Callithrix jacchus: one gene and its partners. The main gene of each other region encodes a partner of the protein of the gene in region 2 in a complex. Links are inferred from orthologs where the notes say so. Each region holds a gene or a part of one and is shown on either strand. Other genes may lie near its edges.

Region 1 (7,738 bases), on a different chromosome or scaffold from region 2:
TTTTTTGAGATGGAGTTTCACTCTTGTTACCCAGGCTGGAGTGCAATGGCACAATCTCGGCTCACTGCAACCTCTGCATCCTGGGTTCAAGCAATTCTCCTGCCTCAGCCTCCTGAGTAGCTGGGATTACAGGCATGCGCCACCATGCCCAGCTAATTTTTTGTATTTATTTAGTAGAGATGGAGTTTCACCATGTTAACCAGGATAGTCTCGATCTCTTAACCTCGTGATCCACCCACCTCGGCTTCCCAAAGTGCTGGGATTACAGGCTTGAGCCACTGCACCCGGCCATGTAAAGCTATTTTTTTTTTTCCACAAAAAAGCATCTTCCAGTGGCTTCCCGGTCCCTCTTCCCTCGAATAAAGTGGAAACAGCTGCCCCGGTGTGCCGAGGTCCCGCCTAACCTAGTCACCTCTTGGGACTCTGGCTCATGACCTTCTCTTTCCAGCCACACCATCCACACAGCTATTTCCTAAACATTCCAAGCACGCTCCTGACTCGGGGCTTCTACGCTTGCTCTTCCCTGTCCTGGAAAGTTCTTTCCTTCTGTAGCTCCCTGGCTATCCCTTTGTTCAGGTCCCTATTCAAGATCCCTCCCGAAGGGAGCCTTCCTGACCATCCTCATCCACTTGCTCTTACCTATTTATTAACTTATCCGACCTATATTTGTGTCACCAGCTGCATGGACCTGGGTGTAATGCTTGCAGATCCTAATGACCCGGGTGGACGAGGAACAGCCAGACTCAGCCTTTGCCACTAGGAGTTTCTTCAAATCCCTGCCGGGGAAGACTTGAGGCCCAGGCCTGGCTGGACCTCTCTGAACCCAGGGTGGGGATGCTAATTCCATCCAGCCAGCCTCAGCACTGGAATTTCGCCCTCTCAAACATAAGCTCCCTGGAGGCAGGGACTTGATGGTCTCATCCACTGCTTTTCCCTCCCAGTGACTCAATATGCATTTGCTAGAAGCTGGTAGCACAGTCCTGCGTGCACCTTGACTCACTCGGTCCTCTCTGCAGCCCTCGTGCCAAAGCGGCTGCCTGGCCCACAGAGGCCTTGGCAAAATATGGCCGGATCAAAGAAATAAAGCGCAACAGGGTCTATGCGGTGCTGAGCGGTTCACAAAGCACTTTCTCACACGCCAACCCTGTCACTGGAGGAATGAATGGGCCCCTGAGGAGTCAGTGGCACTCAGCCAGGCTGGTGAGAACCCATTCCAGGGAGCCACAGGGCCAAGTTCACACCACAAAATGATCGATGGGGCTTCTGAGAATAGATTTTGGCGATATGTTACTTTTGGCAAAATGTTAAGGACTGAGTGGCAGAAAATGAACAGCCACTCAATCCTTGGTCTATAAAGAAAACCCAGAGGTGCCCTCAGCCAACACGGAATCGCTTTTTTTTTTTTTTTTTGAGACAGTCTCGCTCTGTTGCCCAGGCTGGAGTGCAGTGGCACAATCTCGGCTCACTGCAACTTCTGCCCCCTGGGTTCAAGCGATTCTCCTGCCTCAGCCTCACGAGTAGCTGGGACTATAGGCAAGTGCCACCACGTCTGGCTAATTTATGGAATTGTCTTTAAGCATTGAGAGATTCTGCTTCAGGATTAGACAGCCCAGTGTGCCTAGGCTTCCTAAAGCATACCCCACCTCCTGCCATGCGTGCACAGGGACACACAAAATCAAGGAGCACTGTTAGGTTGGCTAAGCTCCACAGTAGCGCTCTGCCCTACACTCCTGCTGGGTTTTATTAACACGCCAAATTTAATTAGGAAGTGCAAACTTTATGAGACCTAAGAATTATGAGGCCTGAACTTCAAGGTCACGGTGAATTAGACTTTCCTAGAAGACAGAAGGCTACAAATGGAAGGAGCGGAACGCTGGGGTGGGAGGGAGGGATCTTGGGGTCACCTTGCTAGGTTAACTTTCACCAAGTCATATCCTCATCTGCAAATGGAAGATGGCCTCTTTAAAGCTTTAAAGTAACTCTAAAGAGGGGGTTTGAGGGGAAGGTGCTGAGGCTAGGAAACTGGGAACTGGGTAAATGCAAGCCACAGTCTGCCCACAGTTGTATTCTTTTTTTTTGAGACAGGGTCTCGCTCTGTTGCCCAGGCTGGAGTGCAGTGGCGCCATCAGAGCTCACCGCACCTTGACCTCCTGCGCTCAATCCACCCTCCCACCTAAGCCTCCTAAGTGGCTGGGTCTACATGGGTGAGCCACTATGCCTAGCTAATTTCATTTGATTTTTTGCAGAGATGGGGTTTTGCCCTGTCGTCCAGGCTGAATTAAAGCCACTTTTTGATTGGCTGGGGCACAAGGGTTACCCTAAAGCTTGGCCTTGGAGTGGGGGAGGGGGAAGAATTCAGAAACATCTGTCTTCAGAGGGTGGAAGCTGTCACCACAGGAGCCATTCATTTGTTTTCTCTAGATGGCCTCTGGTTGTGATGACAACCCCTTATTGTCTAATTCTAGTCCTCAACCACCAGGGCACTAGCCCAGGCAGACAGCGTCACTCCTGCTCTGAAGACAGCAGGGGTCAGAGAGGGGTAGTGCACGTTCAAGGGCCAGCAGCAACTAGGAACCAGACATGATGATTTCCAGTTAATTCTCTCTACTTTACATCTGGCATATAACTGTTTCATAAAGTGCAGCTCCTCGAGGGGGGCAAGAATGGAATTGGCACATTATCATGAGATTTAGGGAGATAACACGATTCTGTTGAAGTCACACATAAAGCAAAGGCCATTCTCTATGTTTTCTTGACTTTGAATAAACTCCTTGACTTAGTGACCGTTCCCTCACTATCCCCATCCCTAGCAGGGCTGCAGAGCTCACAGGCCACTCTGATCGGTGTTACTCCCAGGTCTAACCTTTTCATCGTGGGCCAGGACTGCTTCTGTGGCGCTGAGAGAGGTCAACTCTACTTCTGTGGACATCACAACTGAGACATCACAACAAGCCAATTTTGTTCAACCACGATGTGGGCTGGCCCTACGGGAAAAGCTGTTCTAAATTGACAACCGGTGTCCTGGGCCCTTTGATAGGGAAGTCAAGGCTGTCTGTGGCAGTGGCTGATTTAGTTTCTCATTGAGGGTTTTATCTTGCATCTTCTTGGGGATGACAGGTCCCAGGGCAGGCAGCACTGTCACTTGCCATTGCTGTCATCCTGGAGCAGGATAAAAGGCAGGCAGGGAAAAGGTCCTGACTCCTCTTATCATTTCTTCTAGAGGAAAATACACTTATGGGGGAAAACATGGCAAGGAGAGGGACTCAACCTCTGGATGCTCCAGAGAAGAGGAGGAATGGTGTGAGTTAGAGTCCCGGCTCCAAGGTGCATTAACTGAGTTTGTCATCAGCCAGGGGTGTGTGGTGCTAACTCTCTAGAAGAGCTAAGCCTCGAGTTTTGGGGTGAGACACAGCCAGGATTAAATTCCATTAAATCCCATTCTCACCACCTGCAGACTGTGTGGCCTTGGATAAGTCCCACGCCCTCCCTGAGCCTCAAATTACTCATCTGTGAGACGGGCTCATAACAGCACTTAAAACACCGAAACTAGAGTGTGGAAATGCACGTGAAGGACTTGGCACATAGCAATTGCTCATTAAGGCGACATGTCACCGTCTTTTTCCCACAGCCAATTCCTCATGACTCAGTTTCCACCTCTGTAAGACAGGAACCGCAAAAGAACCGCTTCGAGGGCTGCTGCTAGGACAGACCGAAAGGACGGGTGCGAAGACGCCTGCCCAGGACATAACACTCCCTAACGAGCGGGCTGAGGATGGGAGCCTCAGTCACCCCATCTGCAAAATGGGCACCTGGTCTCCCCCGCCACGGCCCATGAACCCCGAAACGGCGGTGCAGGCGGCTGCTCTTCTCCCTTCGACCCTCTCAGAGCCCTCGGCCCGCCCAGCAGGGTAGATTTCTCAGCCCCAGCCCCTCAGGGGCGCGCCCAGCCCGGGCCTCCGGCGCCCCTAGCCACTCCCGGATCCCGCTACCTATGGTGGAGATAAACGTGGAGTTGAAGGCGTCCTCGGAGAAGCGGAACAGGACACAGGTCTTCCCCACCCCCGAGTCCCCGATCAGCAGCAGCTTGAACAGGTAATCGTAGGTCTTCGCCATATTACACTCTCTCCCCGACAGGAAGTGCAGCTAGCGCCTATCCACTGGCCACCAGCCCCGTCCATCAGCGCCGAGCCCGCCCCTTATTGGCTCCAGGCCCGCAGCGTGTCACCGCGGCCGACACTCGCCCCTGAGTCCCGCCCGCCGCGGGGAGACCTGGGGAGGGGGCGAGCGTAGCGCGGAGCCGGAAGCAGCCCGAGCGTACCTCCCATTGGCCAGCACTGATATGAGGACGGGCTCTGATTGACCAGCAGTAAAGAGTCGAGGGGCTTCAAAGGGGGACGAGACGGGGGCGTGGCATTATGTGGCCCCTGCCTCCACCACAGACTCGGCGGCCCGGCCCCGCCCCAAAATGGGAGAGGGAAAGCAGCGAGCAGCGCCAACGGCTCGCGCGCCGACAGTCTGTGGGCGGGGCTTGGGGTGCGTGCGCACGCGCACCCGGAGGTCCGTTAGGCGCCAGCAGAGGGCGCACGCGCATAGTTGGGGAGGGTATCTCTGGGTCTCGCCCTCACAATTCGCGCAGCCTCAGTAGGCGCCGAAGCGAGCGCGGGAAAGGACTGAAGAGCTTTTTTATACGTCTGTGGTCTGCCGGGGCAGCGTGAGCCGAGGGAGGAAGGAGAGAGGAAGCGCTGTATAATCGAAAAGTGACCCCCGAGGCGAGATCCGAGGTCTCGGCTGTGGCTTGGCAACCTGCTTAGAGATACCCAAGCTCTCCGCCACCTGAGCGGCGTCACCGCCACGAGCTGTGCCCCAAGGCGCGCGCCGTCCCCCTCAGGGCCCGCCCTCGGCCGCCTTAGGGGTTGTCCGGGCCAGCCTTGCGGGTTAGGGCAGTGAGGATGCTGGGTCCTATCTAGGGTCGGCGGTTCTGTGTCTGGTGGTCCTCTCAACATTGAAAAAACAGACCGTCGCGGTGGCTTCCGCCTGTGATCATAGCGCTTCTGGAGGCCGAGGCGGAGGATCGCTTGAGGCCAGGAGATTGAGGCTCCACTAGCCTTGATTGCCCCACTGCACTCCAGCCTGGGCGACAGAGCGAGACACTCGAAAAAAGAAAAGGAGGGATACATTAGGAAAATCGGGCTTGCAGCCGGGTCTGGTGGCTCATGCCTGTAATCCCAGCAGTTTGGGAGCTGAGGCAGGCAGATCACTTGAGGTCAGGAGTTCGAGACCACTGCATTCCAGCTTGGGTGACAGAGCGAGACTCTTTCAAAAAAAAAAACAAAACAAAAAAACTTAAAAAAAATTAGCCAGGTGTGGTATTGCATGCTTGTAGTCCCAACTACTCAGGAGGCTAAGGTGGGAGGATCCCTTTAGCCTTGGAGGTCAAGGCTGCAGTGAGCCATGATTGCACCACTGCACTCCAGCCTGGGTGACAGAGCAAAGCCCTGACTTAAAAAACTTTAATCCCAGTACCAGCCCAGCAAAATGATACTGTTTTTTTCCCATTTGATGGTGAGAAAACTGAAGCCAGAGGAGGTTAAGTGACTTTTTCCCCCTCCCCACTCAAAAGTAGAAGTTGGTATCAGAATTCAGAGTGCCAGTCTTCCCAGGCTGCAATTTGCTCACTAGGGCTTCCTGCTTCTTAGAGATGGCCCAGTCTCTCTTAGGTCACTCTGGGGCCTCCAGGGCCTGGAGGCTCACTTAAGGGTCTGCAGAAGGATGGCCCCAGCCTTTCCTCCTCCCTTCCACTTCAGCTCATTCTGCTAATATAGCTCTGGCTAAGAAAAGCTTCAACAAGAGCCACTGACCACTTCACAGGCCTCAGCCTCTGTGGGATTTGAAAGTCTTGACCACCTCTGAATAGTCTATTTTTTCTTGGTATCATCCTCATTTTATTTATGTACTTATTTTTGAGACAGGGTCTTGTTCTGTCGCCCAGGCTGGAGTGCAGTGGTGTGATTTTGCTCACTGCAACCTTCGTCTCCAGGATTCAAGAGATTCTCCTGCCTCAGCCTCCCAAAAGAGCTGGGATTACAGGTGCCTGCCACCACACCTAATTTGTATTTTTAGTCGAGATGGGGGTTTCACCATACTGGCCAGGCTGGTCTCGAACTTCTGGCCTCAAGTGATCTGCCCTCTGCCCCCTGCCTCTGCCTACCAAAGTGCTGGGATCACAGGTGTGAACCCCACGCCTGGCCCTATCTCTATTTTATTTGCTGGTTTCTTCTCCCTACCACCTCTCCCTCCCTTTCTTTGATTGGTTATTTTTCTCAGACCCCAATGCAGTCTTTTTTGGGGGGCAGGGGGTGGTTTCTGCTTGTCCCTTAGAATTTGTGTTTCTCGTGTTCTGTCTCTGTTCTCACTTTCTGGGTGCTCCTAATGTCTCCACGCTGACCAGTCTCATTGTTTGACCCTTAGCCAAGCCATCTCTTCACATCCATCTGTGTTCTGGACATCTCACTTTGGATTTGTCAGCTACTCCTAACTCAGCATGTTCACAACTGAACTCATCAGCTAATATCCAGACCGGCTTGTCCTGATTTTCCTTGCGAGTGAAACTTAAGCCATTTGTGACAGCTGCCTTTCATCTCTCATCTGTCACATCCTGGTTTTTAAGGAGGTTCTAAATAGCTCTTGAGGGCCGGGCGCCATGGCTCACGCCTGTAATCCCAGCACTTTTGGAGGCTGAGGCGGGTGGATCACCTGAGGTCAGGAGTTCGAGACCAGCCTGGCCAACATGGTGAAACCCCGTCTCTACTAAAAATTTTAAAAAGTAGCTGGGCATGGTGGTGCGTGCCTATAATTCCAGCTACTCAGGAAGCTGAGGCAGAAGAATGGCTTGAATTGGGGAGGTGGAGGTTGCAGTTAGCTGAGATTGCACCACTGCACTCCAGCCTGGGTGACAGAGCAAGACTTGGTCTCAAAAATAAAAAATAAAACAAACAATATCTCTTGAATCTGGTTCTTCCTTTTCCATTGCCACAGTGGAATCATCGCGTTTCTCCACTGGTCTCCCTGTCCATTTTGTCTAATCCAGACTCCACCCTGCAGTGTGGTTATTGTAAAACACTTACTTTACTCTGGGCACTGTGGCTCACGCCTGTAATCCCAGCACTAAGGGAGGCTGAGGCAGCCAGGTTACTTGAGGTCAGGCATTTGAGACCAGCCTGGTCAACGTGGCGAAACTGTCTCAATTAAAATTACAAAAATTAGGCTGGATGTGGTGGCTCACGCCTGTAATCCCAAGCACTTTGGGAGGCCGAGGCAGGCAGATCACCTGAGGTTGGGAGTTAGAGACCAGCCTGACCAACATGGAGAAACCCCATCTCTACTAAAAATACAAAAAAATTAGCCCGGCGGGGTGGCATGTGGCCTGTAATCCCAGCTACTCGGGAGGGTGAGGCAGGAGAATCTCTTGAACCTGGGAGGTAGAGGTTGCAGTGAGCCGAGATAAGCACCATTGCACTCCAGCCTGGGCAACAAGAGCCAAACTGTCTCAAATAAATAAATAACAAAAATTAGCTGGGCACATACCTGTAGTCCCAACTATTCTGGAGGCAGAGGTGGAAGGATTCCTTGAGCCCAGGAGGTCGAGGCTGCAGTGAGCCATGATCGAGCCTCTGCCCGCCAGCCTGGATGACAGAGTGAGACCCTGTCTCAAAAAACAACTCACTTCCTTTAGTAACTA
Region 2 (6,966 bases):
ATCATATAGTAAATACATTAAATAACAATGTTTTCGTGATACTTAAATATAATACAAATGTGCCTCTATATTAAGAAAACACACAACAATGTGTAAATAGGATAATTTTTGAGGTGGCAATTAAAATCACAAACCAATTCCTATCTTTCTTCAAAAAGCTATTTCTTTATTGTTTCTTTATTAGCAATTCCTTTAATGATCTGTAACAGTATTTAAAAGCACTAACTACTAGCTTGAGGAGGATGAAGATCTAGAAATTTAAAGCACAAAGTGTTGGAAATCTGTGGAACTTCCAAAGTCTAATCTACACAAGAGGAAAATGTGCCATCAAGCTGCTAAAAATCAATTTATATACTATTCTTCTGGAAACAGATATATGCCTGCTGGTCTACTATTTAGTTTAATTTTGAAATGGATCTGGTAAGGTGGCTTTAAGTATCAACTTTTAAAACAATAAGTGTTTTTTTTTTAACTTCTAAGTTCAGGAGTACATGTGCATGATGTGCAGGTTTATTACATAGGTAAACATATGCTATATAGGTGTTGTGATATACATTATTTCATCACCCAGGTATTAAGCCTAGTATCCATTATTCTACCTGTTCCTCTCCCTCTTCCCATCCTCCACCCTTCCATAGGCTGCAGTGTGTGTAGTTCCCTTCTATGTGTCCATGTGTTCTCATCATTTAGCTCCCACTTGTAAGTGAGAACAGGTAGCATTTGGTTCTCTGTTCCTACATTAGTTTGCTAAGGATAATGGCCTCCAGCTCCAGCCATGTCTCTGCAAAGGACATGATCTCATTCTTTTTTATGGTTGCATAGCATTCTATGGTGTATAGTGTTTCTTAAAAGATCTCATTTCTAAGCCATTTTGTAAACTGGACACACTACTATATTTGTAGTTAACCACAGATTCAATGCTAATAGACCTCTGACCTCCAACTCCAATTTTTCTTTCCAAATATGCTACATACACTACATTAATATATCTCTTTAACTCTAGACCCAAGATTTCAAATCCTTGTTTGGCCATTTTCATGTGAAAATGTCAACATGTCTACATCTAGACCTGTAATCTCCTTCCACAAACCAAAGTCTTTCCTGTTAATTTCCACAATCACTTCAAATCAGTCTTCCAGTCAGACATCTCTAACTCCTTTCTCCTTTACCCATCCCCCACCCCAATCTAACATTTCTTTCTTAAAATCTCTCACATCTTCTCTTTCCTCTCCATACGCTCACCATCCTCTGAACACACTTTGATTTCTTGTTTCTAGGCCTTCAGTTGTATATACTGCTCTTTATCCAAATTCCCCTTATGCTTCAAAAATCTCTCCCTTCAAGAAGAGTACCTAATCATAGCTGAAATGATCTTGTCTTCTTCAAAGCCCTCAGTGTTGTGCCACTGATTTAGTCAATATCTTCACATTCCAGCTCACAAGAGCTACGGCCAGAGCCATACTTCACATTTCATTAAAGAAGACACTATCTTCCTTCAGTTTTTTCCAAATGATATGCATCACAAATGCCTTGATTTCTGGCCCGATTCCCACAAGCACAGTATCCTTAAATTTTGTAAACTGTTCTCTAAATCTAAACTAATAATTATTTTACTAAAGATACTATAAATCCATTTTAGTTTGATATCCCCATTTGTTATCATTTATGATATGTGCACATGTATATGTGTGATATATAATGCAAGCACAAATTTTAAACTCTACAATAAAAACTGTCATATGCTATATTTAAAATGAGGCATAATTTAGACTTTAAAAGTACAAAAACTGCTATGATTAAATTTAATTCTCCATATTTGAGGTGGAAGGATCAGAAAAAAATACTCTTGTGTTTGTAGAATTTAAGAATGTAAATACTTTCCCTAAAATTCAGAGGCTACTGTGGTACAGGTGTGGCACTAGGGGAGTGAGGTGGACATGTGGCTTACAGAGCAAATCAAATATATGACTAGGAACCCTCCAACAAATCGTCCCCTCAATAACAACATTCTGTAATCTTGTGGAGAATGTAACGAGCATTAACAGGAACAGAAAGGCATACATAATCCCCAGAACAGCTTTAACACAGACTTCATTGGTTCATCTCAACCAGTCTTTTCCTCTTCGCGCTTCAAAATAACCCTGACAGCAGTCAGTTATGCTTTCTATGAGCACTCTCAGGCTTTCCAGTTCCCTATATTGATCTGGCTTTTAGCATTTAATAAGCATCTTTCTCAAAAGCTTTCAAAGTCATTTTCTAAATAAAAGGCAAGACACAATTATGCTGTTTTAGGCAAAACCTTTCACCTTTGCCAGATGCGTTAAGCACTGTTGTTTTCAGTTATTCCTCCTCATAGGACTGGATGGGAAAAAAGTCTGTCCTCTTATGAAATGTGGGAGTCTTATCTCTGAAGGTTTATAATTCTCAAGTAAGATTCACATATGAAAGATAAAACTGATTGTTTATTAAAGTGAGAATCCTTTATAAACATAATATGAAAGAAGAGAACTCAGCAAGTCTTTTTGGTACATTGCGTTCATGATTGATATGATTTAGTCTTAACTCAGTATCTTCCCAAACTATTTTTGATGGTCACCTTCAGAGAGAAGTATTTTATACAGAAACCCAGGACACATGGCTATATATATGTGTGTAATAAACAAAAATTCTGCTTATGACCCACTAAACTGATTTCACAATGCACTGATAGGTCACAATATGAGATACACACACACACACACACACACACACACACACCCCACCACTCAGGTTTCTATCTCTAGTCCTATCATATATATATATTATTGCATTGAGTTGGTGCCAAAGTAATCATGCTTGGTGCCATTACTTTCAATGGCAAAAACCACGATTACTTTTGCACCAATCCATAATTAAAACCGCTCTCCTTTGATGCTAAATCTGAAATACTATATTCCACAGTGTCTCATGGATTCGTCTTTGGGCTACACAGACTCTAAAGAGAAATCTGAGGGAAATATAACTACATTTAAAAGCAGAAAAACTAAATAACTGCAACCCAAAACATTTCAAAAACTCAGTCACTTTCACAAGTTATGCATGGAAAAACCTACTTTGGTCCTCCACATTCAACTGCAGAAGCTTTCACAAACCGGATAGGTTGTAATCCCACTGGTTCAATGCTTAGAGTATTGTTTTCCACAGCCTCCAGAACAGCAGAAGCCAACTTAAAAAAATATATATTAGATGTTACACTGGCAGAAAAATATAAAAATTGTATTCTACAGTAAACTAATTTTATAAATTATTCTCCCAAGTTCCACTAGCTTTGCTTTAGCAAATGAAAAAGAAAAAAATCACACAATTTTGGTTTATTTTCTAATCCAAACACTGTTATGAAAGGCAATTCACTTATGGTAAATAACTATCCTCATTATCTGGACAAGGATTAAAGGTATTAATTCCAGCTTCTGTTCATTTTTTACCCACAATTAATATCTACTGTTAATACCACTTCAAAATTAATATCCTAAAGCTTTATTCTGCTAAATGTATACAGTATTTTTAAACACTGATCATTTATAACACACTAATATATATTAATTAGCTATATATTTTCTGAATTTGTATTTACGTGCACAAGAGTGAGTCTACAAAAGAATTAGCTGAATTATCCAACATTAAATGCCCAGATGAAGATGGCAGGAATTATACTAGATTTGAAACAGGCAAACTTCTGTAGTCTGTCAAGGTTACTATTACTGAATGGCCTACCTGAAACCAGATACAGAGCCACAATGAACAACACATATTCATATCAAAAGTGTGAAAAATTTTCATCTTAACTTCTGATAAGTAATATTACAATTAAATCCTTGAAATGCTTAACATAAGACTCTTAGGATTAAATTTCTTATACTTTAATTGACAGGATATTTGTAAACAAACCTTTCACATGTAAGAACAAATTAAAATTACAGCTTTAAATTTTTATACTGCCTTATTTTTCTAAGTTTTTTGTATCTACTTAATCTACTTCATTTTATCCTTTTAACAATCCTGTGGCATGGGCAAAGACATTACTTTTCCTGTTTTAAAGTTAAAAAAATAAGATTTTGAATCATGTACAGATAGACACAACAGATGCCTTTAACTGGGTGTGCAGAGAACTTCCCTTACACTGAACCTTAGATTGCAAATCAAGAAATAAGCCCTATCCCCCATATCTAGTTAATACCTGACTCCAACGCAGTACATGTTAGCGTGAATGAGTCTCTGCTTATATAAGGATGTTCAGTAACTGAATGCCAAGAAATTATCATAATTCTAATATGGAATGGCAAAAATAGTAAAACATGACATTTTATAATAACTTATTTATGTAAGAGATATTAAAATATATATCACGATTTAGTTTTAAAAAGATAGAAACAACTATAATGTATTCCTAATATGAAAAAGTTACCTCGCTTTTTGAGAATGTTAAACATGGAAAGATATCTTCCTGGTAGATTTTGTCTAAAAAAGGACATGTCCTGTCCATTGTGGGCTCATCCTTCCACAATCGGAACTCATTATACAAGGATAAGTCAGCCTATCAAACAAACCAAAGGAAAACACAAAAACACTTTTTAAAAAGTACAAACATAACCACTTTACAAAATCAAAACTAATTTAAACATTACTAAAAAATGCTCTTCATTTAAAATAATAAATTGAACCACTCTTGATTAGTTATAATACCTCGTAGCAGTTTTCCTTTTAAAAAATGACTCCCAAATAGCCAATTTGCCTTTTTCTATTATCATCCACTACCACGTTCAATAATGCTAACATTACCCTCACCCTGAGCCCCTTCTCCCATCCCCACAAAAAAAGCTGGAGTTCCTCTTAAGACACAAGTGGCACTCTATTCAGATTATAATAAATGATGACAAGTCTTTTCTAAAAATAATAAAAAAGTAATCTGGAACCTAATTAATTGAAGTGTCTGAATAAACTGAGACTGGCTGAACTGTGAAACCTAGTTTGGGATCAAAAATGACACTAATTGTTCTACTATCATTTGAAGGCATCCCCAAAAGAATTGTCAAAACATTTATTGCAGAAGGATTAAAAAAAAACACATAAAGCCTCCTAAACTGACTACCTTAAAATATAACATTTATTTAGATATTTTTGACATATTTTGGGCATCCAGCAACTACCATCTTAGGCATCAGTAATAATCCACTGCTGGCACCTGCCTTCCTATTTACTCTTCCAGCTGTCCCTCTCTTTCTCACCTCTGTAATAAATTTTCCCCAAGTATTCTTCCTTACAGATTCTCAGATTCCCTAAGTCCAGCTCAATACCATCTGCTGGAATACAAAGTTCCACTGACATCAGCCACCCAAACTAAAGCAGTCTCCTTCATCCTACAGCTCTAAGCCACTCTAGTCCAGAAGCACTGGACATACCATAAATGATGCACTCACTACAGCTATAGCCTGCCTTTAGTATAGCTTAATCAGATGTGCAAGTAGTCTACAAGAATGTAACCAAGAGCTGAGGGTAACCAAGCTTTCCTACAGACTTCCTTTTAGGGTGCATAAGGGCAATTTCCATAAGAATTTTTTTTTCAGCCCAATTAATAAATTCCTTGAATCAAAGCTAAAAGCAAAAAAATAAATAATATTAGCATACAAGCAATACTTACATTTTCAAATGCATTTTCTTTCTAAAGTTACTGAGAAAATGGACATAAACCCCAAAGCAGGTAAATGGTACTCTAAGGAAAGATTCTAGTTCAAAGGCAGTAATTTAAACCACTTTTTAAGAGCTGACTTGTGCCAGGAACTACTGTAAGCACTTTACAAACATTTAATCCTCACAACTGTGCAAGGCAGATATTATGATCCCTATTTGTAACTTGCCCAAGATTGCATAGCAAGAAAGCAGTAAAGTCCAAATTCAAATCTAAGTGGCTTAATCCCAAAGCCTCGCACTTGGCATCTATGTCTGCAAGCGTGCATGTATATTTTAAATGTTACAGAAGACAAACTGTTGCTTTTGTCTGACTGAGTACTCCACCATATTTTCTACAAAAACATAGACATGCATCATTTTCTTCCAGATTGTTACATATTTTTATAAGACTTACACAGGTCAAATTTATGTAATTCCTTTGTCTAGTAAGACTTTTTGACAAGCTTTTTATGAAACATCAGAATATAACTCATACCTGGAAAGCAAAGATTATTATTTTGAAGTTATATGCTGCCTACACACATTTTAAAAGATTTCAAAAAATTAAAAATGAATCTTTACAATTTTCCATGAGAAGACACTCAAATTTTTTTCGTGTAAATGGGGTGAAGTACATAATTACTTATACTTACTGAGTGAGAAACAGCAAAAATACAAGTTGGACCAGGCAATTAATAAGGCTATCTAAATTCCAAAGAATTTAAATTAAAGTCAGGACAAAAAAAGTTTCTTAAATATTTCACAGAAAACAATGTAAATTTTGGATTTGGTTACATTCAGATCTAACCAAGTACTGAACTTCTCTCTTATCAGCATCTTTTTTATTAAAAATTAGTCAAAATGCAATTCAATTAAAACAGGTTAACAACATTGGTTATTCCATTTAATAAACTCCTGGTTTCCATACAAAAATTTAACAAGCACACACATTTCTTCAAGATTAATGATGGACTTGAAACAACAATGTAAAAGATGGCTTCTAAGAAGAAATGGGAGAGCTTCATAAATTATTGATCAATCCTCTTAGAAATGCATTCTCATAGTATGCAATAATTTAAAAAAATTTTTACTCTAAAGAGCTCTAAATATTTATATTTCAGTTATCTTTATAACACATCTTTTAAAATAATAAGACTACCATTATTTCTTTTTAAAATTTTTAGTTACTATGGATATATAAGAACAGTAGCCTTACATAGTTGTAAGTGTCTGAATAACTGAGACTGGTTGAACTACGAA
Region 3 (7,574 bases), on a different chromosome or scaffold from region 2:
TGGCCAAGAAAATGTCTTAAGCAATAGACTATATAACAAGGTATTTTCAGAAAATGTAACTTTAGATTGATGTCTGCCACACAATATTTATAAATAGAAATTATAACTGATGCTTACTTATAAGGTCCCACAGGACCTTAACCATATTGTTTGTAAATACTTACTAAAGTTTTAAAAATAAAAAGTCAAGTTTAATAAAAGTAATTCCCTCCCACGAAATGTCTCACTATTGGGCTTAACTAAAGGTTAATATTCAAGAAAAAATACATAATTTAGAATAACCGTCCTGCTTCCCCCACATTACATTTCTATTTAAACCACTCCATCCCATACTACTCAAAATATCCCTTTATTTTCAACTGGTTAGTTAGAAACTAACTCCAATTCCCTCAACTACTGCATTTGCTAGGTAAATCTTCTAAGTAGAGACAGCTGCAGTCTATCTCAGTGAATAAATCTCCGTACAATAAAGCCATTTTAAAATAAAATCATTCTTGCTTCACTTTAAAGTAGGGTACTTGTATAAATAAGAAATTGGCTAATCAGCATTAAAGTAAAAAAAAAAAAAAAAAAAGTGACTCATATCCTGTAAGAGCTTTAAAAAAACAGAAATCCAGCCAGGCATGGTGGCCCATGCCTATAACCCCAGCACTTTGGAGGCTGAGGCAGGCGGATCACCTGAGGTCAGGAGTTCAAGATCAGCCTGACCAACATGGAGAAATTCTGCCTCTACTAAAAATACAAAATTAGACGGGCGTGGTGGTACATGCCTATAATCCCAGCTACTCACTTGAACACAGGAGGCGGAGGTTGCAGTGAACCGAGATCTCGCCACTGCACTCCAGCCTGGGCAACAAGAGTAAAAGTCCATCTCAATTTAAAAAAAAAAGAAAAGTAGAGCTCCTCCTCAGCAGAATTTTCAACACCCTATCTTAAACAGCAAAATGCACAATAAAATGCAATCATAATCCATGGAAACATAAAATGCATTAGAATTTCCTGGTTTTATGTTTCTTTAATAATATTTAAATGCTCTTGTAGTTGAAACTACATTTAAGGTTCAAAAAACTGACAAAGGCCAGGCTCACGCCTGTAATCTCAGCACTCTGGGATGCTGAGACAGGTGGACTGCTTAAGTCCAGGAGTGTGAGAACAGCGTGGGCAACACAGCAAAACCCTGTCTTTCAAAAAAAAAAAAAAAAAAATTAGCTGGGTGTGGTAGTGCCAGTCTTCTAGTCTCAGCTACTCCTAGGAGCGAGGGAGTAGCTAGGGAGGCAGAGGTGGGAGGGTCACCTGAGCCTGGGGAGGTGGAGACTGCAGTGAGCCTTGATTGCACCACTGCACTCCAGCCTGGGGGACAGAGGGAGACCCTGTTTCAAAATACACACACACACACACACACACAAAACCACAATAACTTCTTTCACATTACTATTTATTGAGTCCTCATGGTTAAAAGTTTACAGTCTCATTTAATTCTCACAACAATCTTAAGAGGCAGGTATTTTTCTTTTTATACATGAGATATCTGAGACTCAGAAAAGGGAACTTTTCCAAGGTCACAAAGTAAATTTAAGACCTGAGTCAGGATCTAAACTGAGGTCTACGTGATTCCAAAGCTCAGTGCTCTCAATCGTTGTTAGAAGGATGGTCTAATCAAAAAGTTGAAAAACCTTAGGCCAATTTAGAATATTTAACATTCTTTGCTTAAAAAATTAAAAGACCAGCCGGGCGTGGAGGCTCATGCCTGTAATCCCAGCAATTTGGGAGGCTGAGGTGGTCGGATCATGAGGTCAAGAGATCAAGACCATCCTGGCCAACATGGTGAAACCCCGTCTCTACTTTAAAAAAAAAAAAAAAAAAAAAAAATTAGGCGTGGTCGTCCGCAGCTGTAGTCTCAGCTACTCAGGAGGCTGAGGTAGGAGAATTGCTTGAACCCGGGAGGCGGAGGTTGAAGTGAGCCGAGATCGGCCACTGCACTCCAGCCCGGCGCCTGGCGACAAAGCAAAACTCTGTCGCAAATAAATAAATAAATAGACCTTCTATAACCAACATTCAAGTTGAAACCAAACAAGAGAAATACCCCGAGGGTCCATTTTGTTCTGAATTAATTACTTCAAAGGCAGTCAGTGGCATACTACCACCACAACATATTTTAAAACACAAACCTCCCTTTAACCCCAAAGCCTCAAAAGACTCAAATAATTTCACATCATCTCAGATGCCTTCGGCAAAAGGTATGTTGTAGTATACTTTCTGTAATCCAGGCCTCAGTTTTGTATTTGTAAAATGAATTAAGTACCCTGAAAGTACTTTCCAGTATGGGGGTGAGGGTGGATACTGAAAGTGTTCACCCTATACAATAGTATATTCTGGGTCAGAGGAAGAGTATGTATGACAGCAGGCTAGCATAACAAGATTTGCAAAGTACTGGGAAAGCAAAGAAATCTTTCCTCCCTGGTTTGGTCAATCATTCTTAGCACCCAATGGCAAAGTCAACAGTCACCATGCTTAACACTCTTTAAACTCCACCCTCCACAGTAAAGCTTTAATAGCAATAGCTTCTTCCTCACTGCTAATGATCTTTGTTCGGCACGCTACTGATGGCTACCTTCCCAATTCAGGAGCAGAGAAAGAGCATCAGAGTGAGAGCGCATTCACTGAACAAAAAAAGCATCTACTGTACTCTCTTCTCACTGAAAAATGTACCCTTTATCTTCGTCGATTTAAAAAAAACTATCTGGATTCTTTCCGGACTCAACCAATAAGCAACTCTTTCTAACCACCCCGACCCTCCTTTATGTTTTAGCCAAGGACCCTACATGTTTCCATATCTTATAACAAATATCTAATGTGACCAAAAGAGTACACAACTTCCTCCCACCCCCAACCTTTTGGGAAAGGTATGTGGCCAACTAGGGCTCTTCCCTTCCTGTTGGATCCTCCCAGTGTTGCAGCAGGAAGCAACCAGTCCAGAGAGATAAAGCAAGCTAGTATTTGTGCAGCGCACAACCTTTCCTGCTCAGGAACCGGGCCTTCAGGTCTGGCAAGGATAACAGCCACCACCCATCCGCAAACCCTTCTCGCGAACCGAGTCAAGAGTTACCCAGGGTTGGGTGCTACTGGATGGGGAAGGCAAGAGAATGAAAGGCTAGGTGGGAAGTAATGTCAGCCTGCCGGGTCACTGCGACAAGTGCGCGCGTGGGTGACGGGCGATCCCTCTTACCCTCCCTCCCACTACCCGGGTCGCAATGGAGACACGGGAGCTCTAAACACAATTTGGGGAGGGAAGGTAGAGAAAGAGTTGCCAAATGGGGAGTGGGGGAGGGAGCGGTCAGAGAAGGTTAAGGACCGCGAGAACCGCCCGGCGAGAGGTGGGGGTGGAGGGCGCGGGGCGGGGGAGGGGTTGGTAGTTGGGGCCCCCGGTCCGCTCACATTTTACGGGGTCCTGGACCCGGGATGGGCGAAGCTAAGAGCGGGCGGCAGTCCGAAGGGAGGGAGGAAAGGGGGCAGATAAGAAAAAGACCTGTAGTGGGAGTCTGCGCCGAAGGAAAGGCAAGGAGGGAAGCGAAGAACCCGTCAGAGGGGCTTCGAGAGAGGACGCGAGCCGGGAAGGTTGTACACCGAGTGGGAGGGGGCGCTACACCCAAAAAGAGAGACGGTGGGAGGAGCGGCGGGGCCGTGGAACCCGGGGAAAGGAATTCCACGATGTGGGGAGAAGGCAGTTCACCGGGGGAAGGACACGCAGGGAGGGGCTCTAAGGCCAGCGAAGGCCTCCATGGAGGTCGCTCAGAGCGGCAAGTGACGCGGACCCCTGTCTGAGCGGGGAGAAGACGCCGAGCTGGGTAGGAGCCGGAACCGCACAGAAAGGAGGGGCTGAGGCAGGCCTATATCAGCGCCGGGGTGGCCGGCAGGCGGGTCCGCCGGGAGCGTCCGAGGTCCCCCAACGGGGACTGTGTAGAGTGCGAGAGCCCATGGCCTCACCTTTAAAGAGGTAGTCGTACTCGTCGTCGCGGGTGCCCATTGCGCGGCCGTGGAGCGAAAGGGCGGGAGCAGCAGTGGTATCTGTGGGACCAGGGGGCGTCGCTGCAGGGGTAACCCGAACGCCGAGCTTCAGCGGCCGGACTGGGTGGAGAGCCCCTCCCTGCAGCTGCGCCACTTCCGACAGGCCCCAGCCTCTAAGAGGAAGTACTTCCGGGGGCGGCGCCCCGCCCCTGAGCTCAAGAAGGGCGGTGTGCGCGAGAGTCGCATGGCTTAAGACTTCAAACTTTCGCTGCTAAAAGAAGCTCAGAGGGGAAATTGAGCCCTAGAATTACTAGTTCACCATGGTCTTAGTGGCCTCTTGCTCATTTCTCGAGCTACCGTGCCCGGAAGCGGCTCGCTGGAACCGGCCAGACCGCCTCTGGGTGGAGAGTTTGTGGATGGGGGCGGGGTTCTCTAAGGGTTAGTGAGCCCAAGGCAGCTACACATTCGTGGAGGTTCCATGGTGTAATGGTTAGCACTCTGGACTCTGAATCCAGCGATCCGAGTTCAAATCTCGGTGGAACCTGCACTGCTTCATTTTTTTCCTTGACAATGTATATAGTTTTTTCTTGACAAGGAGTTACCCAGGCTGGAGTGCAATGGCACGATCTCGGCTCACAGCAACCTCCGCCTCCTGGGTTCAAGCAATTCTCCTGCCTCAGCCTCCAGAGTAGCTGGGACTACAGGTGCGCACCACCATGCCCAGCTAATTTTTATATTTTTAGTAGAGACGGGGTTTCACCATGTTGACCAGGATGGTCTCGATCTTTTGACCTCGTGATCTACCCGCCTCGGCCTCCCAAAGCGCTGGGATTATAGGCGTGAGCTACCGTGCCCAGCCCTCTTGACATTTTTAATTCACATTTTTGTTCACTAAGTAATTGAACAACTATGATATATCTTCACTAGAATTAAGATGGAGATGTAAAACTTAACCCTTGCCTATGAAGACCTCACAAATTTCCCACTGCATTTCAGGTACTGTCTGCTACTTGGTGGGGGTTGTCTTACTGAGCCTCTTCTCTTTGCCTATTTTTTAGCCTGGTCCCTCAAACCTTAGTTCAGAAGCTTCAATGAAACTTGAAAATTTCTTTTGCTGGAATTTTCTACCTCCAGCTTCATGCAAGGGTAGGCGCTTTTGTCACTCATTCCTCTCTGGAAATCTTTCAAACATTTAGAGTACTTCGCCCACCCTCCTCATCAAGATTCATCAAGAACTTGAGTCCTATTTGTAGGCCTCTAATCTAAGTCCTTTTACATAAGTATTTCATTTAACATGCTGGGCTAAGGATGGCAATTTCCATTTTAGCGGAAATTTGGATACTAAGACTCAAGTGATTTGTCGGATATCATGCTGTGGGGCCTCCCTGTATTTGAAGAGAATTTTGTAATTCCAGAAAAGCCTTTTTCCAATTATTGTCACACCTCCTACCTCCTATATGCAAACTCTCAATTTAGAATTGTGGGAAGGAGTGCCTATAACAGGCAGAATATTGACCCCTGCCAATGATGTCCATTTTCCAATTCCTGAAGACTGAATAGGTTAGGTTACATGGCAAAGGAGAATAGAGGTTACAGATGGAATTAAGGTTGCCAATCAACTGACATTAAATTAGGGATATATCCTGGATTATTTGGGTGGCCCCAGTGTTGTCTTAAGGGTCCTTAAAAGAGGAAAATGGGCCAGGCACAGCGGCTGACACCTGTAATCCCAGCACTTTGGGAGGCCGAGGTGGGTGGATCACGAGGTCAGGAGTTCGATCGAGACCAGTCTGGCCAACATGTTAAAAACCCTTCTCTACTAAAAAAACACAAAAAAGTTAGACGGGTTTGGTAGTGTACACCTGTAATCCCAGCTATTCAGGAGGCTGAGGCAGGAGAATCCCATGAACCCAGGAGGCAGAGGTTGTAGTGAGCTGAGATCTCACCATTGCACTCCCGCCCAGGCGACAGTGTGAGACTCCATCCAAAAAAAAAAAAAAAAAACCTCAACCTGCCCTTGCTGGCTTTGAAGATGGAGGAAAGGGGCCCAGGAGACTAGGAATCCGGAGGGTTCTAGAAGCTGGGAAAGGCATGGTAGCAGATTATTTCATAAGGCCCCCAGAAGCAACACAGCCCTGCTGACAACTTGATTTTAGCCCAGTGAGACTCTTGTCAGAGTTGTGACCTACACTACTATAAATAATAAATTTGTGTTGTTTTAAGTCACCAAGTTTATGGTAATTTGTTATGGAAGCAATAGAAAATGAATACAGTGCCAATTTCAGTGCTTTCTCTGTCACTATAAAGTGATAGTAAGGTCCTGTAATCTCAGCTACTCGGGAGGCTGAGGCAGGAACCCAGCCTGATGAACCCAGGAGATGGAGGTTGCAGTGAGACAAGATCGTACCACTGCTCTCCAGCCTAGGCCAGAGGTGGAGGAGGAGGAGGTACTGGAGGAGGAGGAGGTACCGGAGAAGACACTGAGGAGGAGGAGGACGAGGCACGGACCCCTGAAGTGGAGGAATTAGATTGTAAGAGCGTATTCAGCAAGGCCATTCATGCTAGAAGAATTACCAATTTTTCTCCTTCAGTCATTCACTCTTAATGTGTACTCTGAAAAGGACATAGTATTCCTCAAAAGAAGAACTGAATCTTAAATTTAGCTAATAACCAAAAAAAAAAAAAAAAAAAGGCAGGAGGGGCTACATGGTCAAGTAAGTCCTACGGTAAGTTTTTCCTTAGGACACTCACACAGCGTTTCCGAAATTCACCAGAACACAGAATATTTTTTGCATGGAACACTATTCACATCCCTCTGAATTTTTAGGGGGAGTGAAAAAAAGATTTGTGGACAGAGGGGTGATTGAAGTAAACGTGGTCTTAGTAAAAGTAACCTGGCTGTAGCCTACGAGACTGGCATAAAGAAGGACTAGAAGTATAAGTATCAGAAGGCTATTGCAGGCTGGGTGTGGAGGCTCATAGCTGTCATCCCTTTGGGAGGCTGAGCTAGCAGGACTGCTTCAGCCCAGGAGTACAAGACCAGCCTGGGCAACAGAGTCAGACGTCATCTCTACAAAAAATAAAAAAATAACCAGGTATGGTGGCTCACACCTGTAATCCTAGCACTTTGGGAGGCCAAGGCAGGTGGATCATGAGGTCAGCAGTTCCACACCAGCCTGACCAACATGGCGAAACACTGTCTGTACTAAAAATAGAAAAATTAGCCAGGCATGGTGACAGGCACCTGTAATCCCAGCTACTCAGGAGGCTGAGGCAAGAGAATCACTTGAACCTGGGAGGCGGAGGTTGCAGTGAGTAGAGATTGTGCCACTGCACTCCAGCCTGGGTAATAGAGTGAGATTCCATCTCAGAAAAAAAAAATTAGCCAGGCATGGTGGCACGTACCTGCAGTCGGAGAGCCACCACATATAGTCAGGTTTAATATCTATTGAAAAGAATGAGTAATAGAAAAAGAGAAGTGAGAATAAAAAACAGTAAGAGGCCAGGAAAGGTGACTCATGCCAGTAATCCCAGCACTTTAGGAGGACAAGTTGGAGGATGGCTTGAGC

The links. Proteins that work in one complex are often made in the same cells at the same time.
Region 1: the proteins of RAB3IP (region 2) and RAB8A are in contact, whole or in part, in a crystal structure (PDB 4LHX), measured with the Homo sapiens proteins. The link is inferred for Callithrix jacchus from reciprocal best matches to the Homo sapiens genes RAB3IP and RAB8A. Residues at the interface, in NP_783322.1 of Homo sapiens: Ser199, Arg202, Asp203, Gly206, Leu209, Glu210, Thr213, Ala214, Phe217, Glu218, Ala220, His221, Val224, Asn228; in NP_005361.2 of Homo sapiens: Lys10, Phe33, Ser35, Thr36, Phe37, Ile43, Asp44, Phe45, Lys46, Ile47, Trp62, Ile73, Ala76, Tyr77, Arg79, Gly80.
Region 3: the proteins of RAB3IP (region 2) and RAB11A are in contact, whole or in part, in a crystal structure (PDB 4UJ5), measured with the Homo sapiens proteins. The link is inferred for Callithrix jacchus from reciprocal best matches to the Homo sapiens genes RAB3IP and RAB11A. Residues at the interface, in NP_783322.1 of Homo sapiens: Asn367, Thr368, Leu369, Ser370, Ile371, Glu372, Pro373, Asp412, Arg424, Thr428, Cys431, Asn432, Thr435, Tyr439, Leu444, Val445, Lys446, Gln447, Gln448; in NP_004654.1 of Homo sapiens: Phe36, Leu38, Glu39, Asp127, Leu128, Arg129, His130, Leu131, Arg132, Ala133, Pro135, Thr136, Leu156.

Annotation. Positions count from the first base shown.
Region 1 is NC_133523.1:14,724,281-14,732,018, reverse strand, and holds the start of RAB8A (ras-related protein Rab-8A), read right to left. Parts: upstream 4,128-7,738; 5' UTR 4,114-4,127; coding exon 3,990-4,113; intron 1-3,989. UniProt on the Homo sapiens protein: The small GTPases Rab are key regulators of intracellular membrane trafficking, from the formation of transport vesicles to their fusion with membranes.
Region 2 is NC_133510.1:72,377,692-72,384,657, reverse strand, and holds part of RAB3IP (rab-3A-interacting protein), read right to left. Parts: intron 4,574-6,966; coding exon 4,445-4,573; intron 3,206-4,444; coding exon 3,093-3,205; intron 1-3,092. UniProt on the Homo sapiens protein: Guanine nucleotide exchange factor (GEF) which may activate RAB8A and RAB8B. Promotes the exchange of GDP to GTP, converting inactive GDP-bound Rab proteins into their active GTP-bound form.
Region 3 is NC_133509.1:12,874,434-12,882,007, reverse strand, and holds the start of RAB11A (ras-related protein Rab-11A), read right to left. Parts: upstream 4,128-7,574; 5' UTR 4,025-4,127; coding exon 3,985-4,024; intron 1-3,984. UniProt on the Homo sapiens protein: The small GTPases Rab are key regulators of intracellular membrane trafficking, from the formation of transport vesicles to their fusion with membranes.